2 linked regions of the Canis lupus familiaris genome follow. The protein of the gene in region 2 purifies or fractionates together with the protein of the main gene of each other region. This does not show direct contact. Links are inferred from orthologs where the notes say so. Each region holds a gene or a part of one and is shown on either strand. Other genes may lie near its edges.

Region 1 (4,134 bases), on a different chromosome or scaffold from region 2:
AGAGGTAAGAAAACTGGTTCAGAGGGGTTGAGAAAGAATGACCAACGTCATAAAGCTAGTAAATGGTGGTTACTGGAATTTAATAATAGCAGTGACAGATAGCATTGCTTGGGGGTTTACCTGTGCCAGAGTTCTTCACATGAATTAGCTCACTTAATCCTTAAGTGCAACCCTATTAGTTAGGTACCATTGTCCCCACTCTACAGATAGGGAAACTGAGGCACAGAAAGAAACCTGGATCACACAGAGGGTGGTAGACCAAAGGCAGGCAGACCAATTCCATAGTCAATATTCTTAATCACCATATCATGCTGGATTTGAACTCATATCTTTCTACATTAAAAACTCAGGTACTGGGGCGCCTGGGTGGCTCAGCGGTTGAGCGTCTGCCTCTGACTCAGGTCCTGATCCCAGTCCAGGGATGGAGTCCCTCATCGGGCTCCCTCCAGGGAGCCTGCTTCTCCCTCTGCCTATGTCTCTGCCTCTCTCAGTCTCTCATGAATAAACAAAATACAAATAAAAACTCATGTACGTTTTACTATTCCACATTGTGACCTTGGAAAAGGAACTTTCTCTACTACCCGTAAATCGATCCAGTTCTATTTACGGACATCCTACCTCTAAGCCAGAGCTAAGGGGAGCTTTGCGAAACTCCATAGCTGTTAAACCTCTGCATCCCCGCCCATCCCAGGATCACCTTCCTGGAGAGAGAAGCCCAGGTCGCTGGGGCTTGGGAGAGTCCACGGGCCAAGACCCAACCTTCATTATGATGCCTTTAGATGCAAGAGGCATCCCCTGGAGCCTAGGCCTCGAGGGACCCGGTGGGTGTTTGGAAGGGCATGGGCCAGACCCCCTCTTGAATTTTCGGGTCCCCGCATTAGGCGCACTCTACGGCTTTCAAAGACTGAACTGTGGGCCCCGCTGTGCTCCCCTCCGCACCTAAGCTCCAGCCCCGAGAGCCCGCTCTCGTCCTTCCTGCCCCGCACTTCTCCACCCGCCTTGGCCCAGCGGGGAGCGCTCCCGGGCCAAATACCCACAGTCCGCACCCGAGGAGCCGGCCGGGCCGCAGAAGAAGCCCCCGCCGCGCGGCTCACAGCGCCTGCCTGCTTCCGGGCCCCAGCGGGACGCGGCCTTGCGGTTCCCATGGAAACCCCGCGGCTCGCCGCGTCGCGCTTCCGGGCCGGCTCGCGGCGCCCTCCAATGACGTCACAGGGCCACTTTCCGGCCGGTGGCAGAGTCGGGCTGAGGTTGGGGGGCGCCGGAGGAGCCATGGGGGCCACTGGCGACGCCGAGCAGCCGCGGGGACCCGGCGGGGCAGAGCGGGGCGGCTCCGAGCTGGGCGACGCGGGCGCAGCGGGGCAGCTGGTACTCACGGTGAGGGCGCCCCCGGGAAGGCCGGGGCCGGGGCTGGGGCTGGGCTCGGGCCGGCTGGGCCTCGGGCTCCCGGGACCCTGGCCCGCGGGCGAGAGAACGCGGCGGCTGGTGCTGCCCAGGGCGGTGGCGTTTTCGCAGTCCGACCACCCGGATTCAAATTCTGGTGCCGCCCTCCAGGCTAGGCGATGTGAGCCGGTCCTGTCACCTCTGAGCTCCAGTTTCCTCTTCTGTAAAATGGAGAGGATTGGTGCCTGCCTCGTAAAGTTGTTACGGGGATGGGGTGTAAAGGCGAGCAGAGCGCCCAGCACGCTAGCAGCCCCAGAGTGGTCCCTCGGTAAACACTGGTTCCCTTCCCTCTCCCATCCCAGAAAGGGTGGGGTTGGGACTTTTCCAGGCAGGAAACTTCAGTTCCTCCACCCCGGCAGGACCTTTCAACCGCTGCCCTCCCGCCTACCCGAGGGTGGGAGAGATGCTGACAGTACCTGAGAAGCAGAGGTGTCCACGTTTAACTTCATACTCACCGTCCACCTGTACCCTAGTGTCACAAGCCTCGGTGACATCTGTTCCCTTGGTCCCCACAGAACCCTTGGAACATAATGATAAAGCACAGGCAGGTGCAGCGAAGGGGCCGCCGCTCACAGATGACAACAAGGTAAGGCTGGGCCTGAGTATTGACCTCCCCGGCATTGATTGGCTTGGATGGCACCCTTGGGGTCCCCACTACACAGAGCTGAAGAGAGATCAGCAGCTGTTAGAAGGAGCAATGGACTAGGAAAAAGGAGACTCGGCTTTTGTCACTCTGGATGTGACCTTGGTTGAATCATTGCCACCTCTGAACTCTTGTACAAAATAGGAGGAATCATGAATTCAGCAGTGCCTAAGATCCTAACACTCACTCGCTCTGTGGTTGAGGGCTCTAAAGAGGCAAAATAGCATAGAGGTTTAGAAAAAAGTGGGGCTGGGGCACCTGGGTGGCACAGTGGTTGAGCGTCTGTCTTCAGCTCAGGGCATGCTCTCAGTCCAGGGATGGAGTCCTGCATCGGGCTCCCTGCATGGAGCCTGCTTCTCCTTCTGCCTGTGTCTGCCTCTTTCTATGTGTGTCTCATGAATAAATAAAATCTTTTTTTTTATTTTTTTAAAGAAAGAAGTGAGGCTAATAGTAGTATTTATCTCAGTGAAGGGAGAGAGCACAATGGACCCATGGGATCCTGATTAAATTTCTTGACCTGAGTAGTGATTAAGTGGATGTTCACTAAAACTATTTGTTAAAATGAAAAAAAAAAAAAAGTGTATAGACTTTGTATTTCATAAAACACTTTAAAAAATAATACTTATTTTGTAGGGTTCTTATGAAAATGGAATAAAGCCATACATATGTTTCATTTGCACAGAACCTGGGCACATAGCTTGTTTTCAATAGAAGCTATTACTGTTATTAAAGGAGCCTGTGTCAATAATTGGCTGGGCAGACTAGGAAAGATATGTTTGGGACATGACCCCTGACTGTGTCTCCCTCCTGAATGCAGTTTCACAGATCCTGCCATTTCCATGGACCTCCTTCGAGCTGTCCTGCAGCCTAGCATCAACGAGGAGATCCAGACGGTCTTCAACAAGTATATGAAGGTGAGAGGTACAGAGATGCAAGGGCAGACCTTTCCTACATTACAATCCCCCTCGCTCTTTTTGGTACAAACAGATGAGTCAGGTTTTCCAATTCTGAATCCCTGAGAACTTTTTTCGCCCTCTTTAGAGGTAATTTGAATACCTCTTTCGCCAAGCTATTATGAGGATAAAATAATTTAAGTTTAATGTGCTCTGCACCATGTTACAAACAAGTGTCTTTCTTATTTGTTTAACAGGATCAACATTATTATTATTTAAAATTCCTTTCTAGGCCTATAAATAAACTTCCACATGACTCTACCTGATTGTCCCCTAGATGCTTGAAACAGCATGTCCAGAGCTGAACTCTTTCTTCCTAAACCTCTTCCTCTTATGTTTGTTTATTCATTCAAGAAGCATGTACTGAGCACCCACCATTATAGCAGGCACTGAGGATGCAGCAGCAAACAAAATGAACAGTGTCTCTGCCCTCTTTAAACAAATAAGTACTATGCTAGGAAATGCCAGAGAGAAGGGGGAGAGAGTAACCAGTGGGGAACAGTAGTGCTGTTTCATAGATTGTGTCCAGGAAAGCCACATGTGAGCAGACACCTGAATAAAGGGAGAGAAAAACAAGCTGTGTGGACACATCAGGGGAAAACACCCCAGGCAGAGGGAACAAGAGCAGACACCCTGAGGCAGGAGTGTGCTTGGACACTCAAAGCAACAAAGTCTCGGGCAGCCCCAGTGGCTCAGCGGTTTAGTGCCACCTTCAGCCCAGGGTGGGATCCTGGAGACCTGGGATCAAGTCCCATGTCAGGCTCCCTGTGTGGAGCCTGCTTCTCCCTCTGCCTGTGTCTCTGCCTCTCTCTCTCTCTCTCTAATGAATGAATACATAAAATCTTTAAAAAAAAAAAAAGTCTCCAGTGTGGCTAGAGCAGACTGAGCCAGGAGGAGAATAAGGAGAGGTAATCAAAGAAAATAGGGGCCCAGTTCATGCAGAACCTTTGAGGCCATGGTAAGGATATTGGGGTTTACTCTGAGTAAAATAGAGGCCCTTTTAGACTTTTGGGCAGAGCACTGGATCTAAACTTTTTTTTTTTTTATCTAAACATTTTTTTAATATTTTTTATAGATTTTATTTATTCATGAGAGACA
Region 2 (4,114 bases):
CTTGTTTCGGGGGCCCCCTGGCTCAGGCGCCCCGGAATCGGTAGGGTGAGGCGGGAGAACTTAACACTGCCGAAACCGTTACCCCTCAAAAGACACCAACCTCGGCCGCTCCTGGCAGCAGCCTCCTCCGCCCATGACCTCATGCTTTAAGCTCCCATATAGCCTTCCCCCGCCCTGTCCCCACCCAGCGCCCGAGTGGGGGTGGGGGTGGGGGACAGCGGTGAAGGTGTGGGGAGGGGAGCACCTCGTTGGTCTCGCGCCAGAGCTGGGGGAAGGGACGAAACGACCTCCCCCACGCTGGGGAAAAGGAAAAAGGAAAAAAAAAAAAAAAAAAAAAAGCATGGTTTAACTTTCCCTTGAGCTGCAACTACTCGCTGTCCGGCGGGCCCCTCGTGAGCGAGGTGCCCCGGGCCGGCTCGAGGTGGTCGGTGCGGCCGGGCCGCTTTGGCTCCCATTCCCCGCGGCCGGGAGAGACGCCGGCGAAGGCCGCGGCCCCGCGCTGCACCGACGGGCGGCCGCGCCTCCGCGGGGCCCCGGGGCCCGTCCGGCCCTCGCCCCCCCCGGCGCCGCCGAGGTTTGAACCCTCGGCTCGCCTTTCAGCCCGCGCCCTGCCCCCTGCTCGCAGCTGCTCTCGGTTTGGGTGCAGCGGTTTCCCCCGCAGAGGAGGAGGAGGAGACAGCGCGAGGAGCGACTCCGGGCTCGGGTTTCCGCACCAATGCCGCGCAGCCCCGGGCGGCCCCCGGCGGCCGTCCCTCCTCCCCGGCACCACGTTCCACAGTCATGGCGCGCGAGGAGGGGCGAGCGCGCGCCGCCGCGGCACCCGCGCCCCCTCCCCGCCCTCCCCTCTCGGCCCGGCTCCTCTCCTAGGCAACCTCCCTCCCCGGCCTGCAGCGCCGCGGAGATGGAGCCCCCTCCCCAGAGAGCTGCGTTCGCTGCGCCGTCTGCAGCGCCCCCTCCCCGCCCCCATCGGGGCGGAGGGATGGAGCCGCGCGCTTCGCGAGCCTCCAGCCCCTTCCCGGGAGCCCCAGCCCCTCTCCCAGCCCCGCCGAGCCCGGGTGCGGAGGGGGGAGGCGCAGGCCGCCTCTCCGCACTCCACCGAGACCTTGGCGTCTTTGCAACCCCTTAGCAAAATAAATAAAGCCCCCCAACCCCAGTCGTTAAATTGCAAAGCTCGTTACAATAACCGGGACGGCTACGCAGGAAGCAATCCTGCACTGGTCCGGGTCTAAGGCGGCAGCTTCCCGGCCACGCCGCCGTCTCCCGGGCCTCGATTTTCCGGTCACGCCGGAGAGTCCGCCACACCCCGGGGGCTGACAGGTCCCCCGCGGGGCCGCCACTCGGTCCGCGTCCCCCGCCCCATCCTCGTCCAGAGTCTCGCCAAGCCTACAAAAGGTGCGACCTCACGCACAAGCAGAGCACACAAATAAGGTCGGCAGCGCATCGCCGGGGAGGCGGCGAACAATGCGCCAGGCTGCCCGCGCCCGCCTGAGCGCGGCGCCCGGGGGGACAGGGGGCGCGGGTGGGGGCCGGGGCGGAGGACCCGGCGGCCGCGGCGCTGGACACCTTACTTCCTGCTTCCCCGCCCGCGGCCAGACCCAGCTCTGCGGAGGGATATCTCTCCCCTCCTCTGTCCCTCTCTCCCTTCCCCCGCCCTCCCCCCCCTTTTTGCTTCTGCTCCCCCCCCCCACCCCGCCTTTCTCCTTTTGCAAGAAAATAATTTGACAGTCGATTTGCTGACAGGGGAGGAATTTGCATCCTGGATTTAAAAAAAAAAGGCCGAGAGGAGCTTGGGAACGGTTGCTAGGGGTGGGTAATGGGTGAAAAAAGGGGGGCGCCGGGGAGCGGATAAGGAGGGTTAAGGGAGGGGGCGAGGGTGGGGAGCAATGCAAAAGGTAAGGCCAGGTTACCGCTGCTCGGCCCCGAGTGGGCTGCGGCCGGGGGAGGGGCGAGAGATACATATGTATTTCTGTCTCCCTAGCACACCCCCTTCCCTCTAAGCGATGGCTGAGAGGCGGTGCATGCAGATGGGGAGTAAGTTTCCTGAAGGGGAGGGTGGATGCACGCGCGCGGCCCCGCGCTGCAAATTTCCACCGGGGAGGGAGAGTGGCTGGATGCGGAGAGTTTGGAGTTGCTTGCCGCGGAGGGCAGGAAGGGGAGCAGGGCCGGGAAAGGGGGCTGGCGGGCGCTATAGCTGGGAGTAAGTTTCCAGGATCGGGAGAGCCTGCACGCTTGCACGCTAGTAAGTTTCTGGTTGGGGAGGGCGCGTGGGGAGGAGGAGAGGGAGGGGTGCATGTATATAGAAGGGGGGAGGGGGGAGCAGATTTCCTGCGGGGAGGCTGAATGCATATGGAGAGTAGATTTCCTGAAGGGAGGGTGGAGGCGTAGACGGACCGAGTAAGTTTCTTGCTGGGGTGGTGGCGGAGGTGGTGGGTTGGTGCTTTGGAAACCCGGAGCTTCCTCCCCGGGGTGGGGGAGCATGCTGTTGGGGGTGGGGTGGGGGCGGCGCAGGGCCCTGTTCCCTGCTGGGGAAGGGGCTTGCATCTGGGGAGTATGTTTCCTGGCGGAGCGATATTTGTTTACAGGCTGAGGGCAGTACTGTAAGTGAGTAGCGCTTCGTGAAGGCGGCTCTGACATAAATTAATATTGAAATTACTCCATCAGCTCTGCTCGCCCCCCAGCTCACCCCCCAAGCGGAGTCTGGTCTTGTCGGATTGCCCATGCACTTGTTGCAGAAACAGCCAAGGTAGGCAAGAAGCTTATTAAGTTTCATTAAAAAAAAAAAAAAATTAGTTGGGGGATGCTCCGTGAGAAGACGGGGGAGGGGAAGGGGAAAGCCCCCCCCCCCACTTCTTTACTTTCAGTCTGTTAGCAGGGCCTTCTTTTTGCTTCCCTTCTTCTCTTGTCCCTCTGCGGGCTGTCCAGCATCCCGGCAAAGGGGGGAGGGCTGAGATGGGCGCTATAATTGGCAGCCCCGGCTTAAACGATGGTGGTGTTGGGGTTTGCAATTGAAGGTTGTGATGTTATAAAGCCTTCATTCTTCCAGCCAAGAAACCGCAGAACCCTAGGGATGTGCCTTTTGGGTTTTTGACATGATGCATATATGTATGTATATGCGCCTGTAGGCTCCTTGGGGGCTGGATACTCCCCCAAGCTACAGTGGCCACCCAGATAAGAGAAATGTATAAGGGGGAGAGCCTGCCCCTTCACTCTCTAACTTCAGTTTGGTAGACTGGGAAGTTACTGCTGGTGGGCTGAAGAAATAGATATTTAAGAATAACACAAAACCACCCATTCACTGGCGGAGGCCGAAAGCACCTGGCGGGCAGCCTCTGGCCAGCGCTGGGTTGGAGCATGTGCGCCTGCCATCCTTAGGTTAGAGAAAATGACTTCTGGTTCTTCCGTGTGCCTTCGGCTGGTCTGTTAGAGCCAGCTTTGTGGAAACTCTGCCCCAGACTAGACAGGGCTTTGGCAAGTGAAGTGTTGAGCGGGTTGCTAACAGCATGGCCTGGCCTGTCTTGTGAACTACATGGAGGTGATGCTTAGGAATGATGAAGCCAGGGGTGTCTGAAGAGTTGTTTTAAAAAAAAAAAAAGCCTCCCAAAGGCCGGCTGGCTTCACTTTTTTAGCAGGCCATGGAGGAGAGCTTTAAGGAATGAGTTTTAAGTTGTCCCAGTTGGTACAACCTTCTGCATCATTTACCCTTTCAGGAAAGCAATCTGGTGATGGAAAATGTGGTTTTGATGCCCACTGTAAGAATAACAAGCAGCCCTCCACACTTAACCAGTTAACCAGCAGTCTTTGCTTCTCCTTGCCTCTCTTTTCCTGCTGGTTTCTGCACATGAGTTGGTAGGTTTTGACTGCCAGGTACCTTGATTATGCCGAGACTTTTAACTTTGCCAGGATAATTTTGGCACCAGGGACCCAAACCCGGACATGTTTAGTAGGGTCAGGGAGTAAATGCTAGGTGTGTGGTTAACTAAAGTTGGTTAAGCTTTGTGCAGTTCTGTAGACAGGCTCAACTCTAGCAGGGGAAAAAGTGGGTTTTAAAAAAAGATCTCCCTACATGTTACTGATGGACGGTGCTTCTCTTCTTTCCTCCCTGTCATCAGATTTC

Evidence for each region. The genes of interacting proteins can lie anywhere in the genome.
Region 1: the proteins of TRERF1 (region 2) and DNTTIP1 purify together in Homo sapiens (affinity purification with mass spectrometry; 3 studies listed by BioGRID and IntAct, with this or other methods). This does not show direct contact. The link is inferred for Canis lupus familiaris from reciprocal best matches to the Homo sapiens genes TRERF1 and DNTTIP1.

The regions. Positions count from the first base shown.
Region 1 is NC_049245.1:33,724,970-33,729,103, forward strand, and holds the start of DNTTIP1 (deoxynucleotidyltransferase terminal-interacting protein 1), read left to right. Parts: upstream 1-1,231; 5' UTR 1,232-1,269; coding exon 1,270-1,374; intron 1,375-1,955; coding exon 1,956-2,026; intron 2,027-2,900; coding exon 2,901-2,997; intron 2,998-4,134. UniProt on the Homo sapiens protein: Increases DNTT terminal deoxynucleotidyltransferase activity (in vitro). Also acts as a transcriptional regulator, binding to the consensus sequence 5'-GNTGCATG-3' following an AT-tract.
Region 2 is NC_049233.1:11,232,644-11,236,757, reverse strand, and holds the start of TRERF1 (transcriptional-regulating factor 1), read left to right. Parts: upstream 1-1,212; 5' UTR 1,213-1,392; intron 1,393-1,687; exon of another isoform or gene 1,688-1,806; intron 1,807-1,896; exon of another isoform or gene 1,897-2,031; intron 2,032-2,037; exon of another isoform or gene 2,038-2,239; intron 2,240-2,316; exon of another isoform or gene 2,317-2,394; intron 2,395-2,661; 5' UTR 2,662-2,743; intron 2,744-4,114.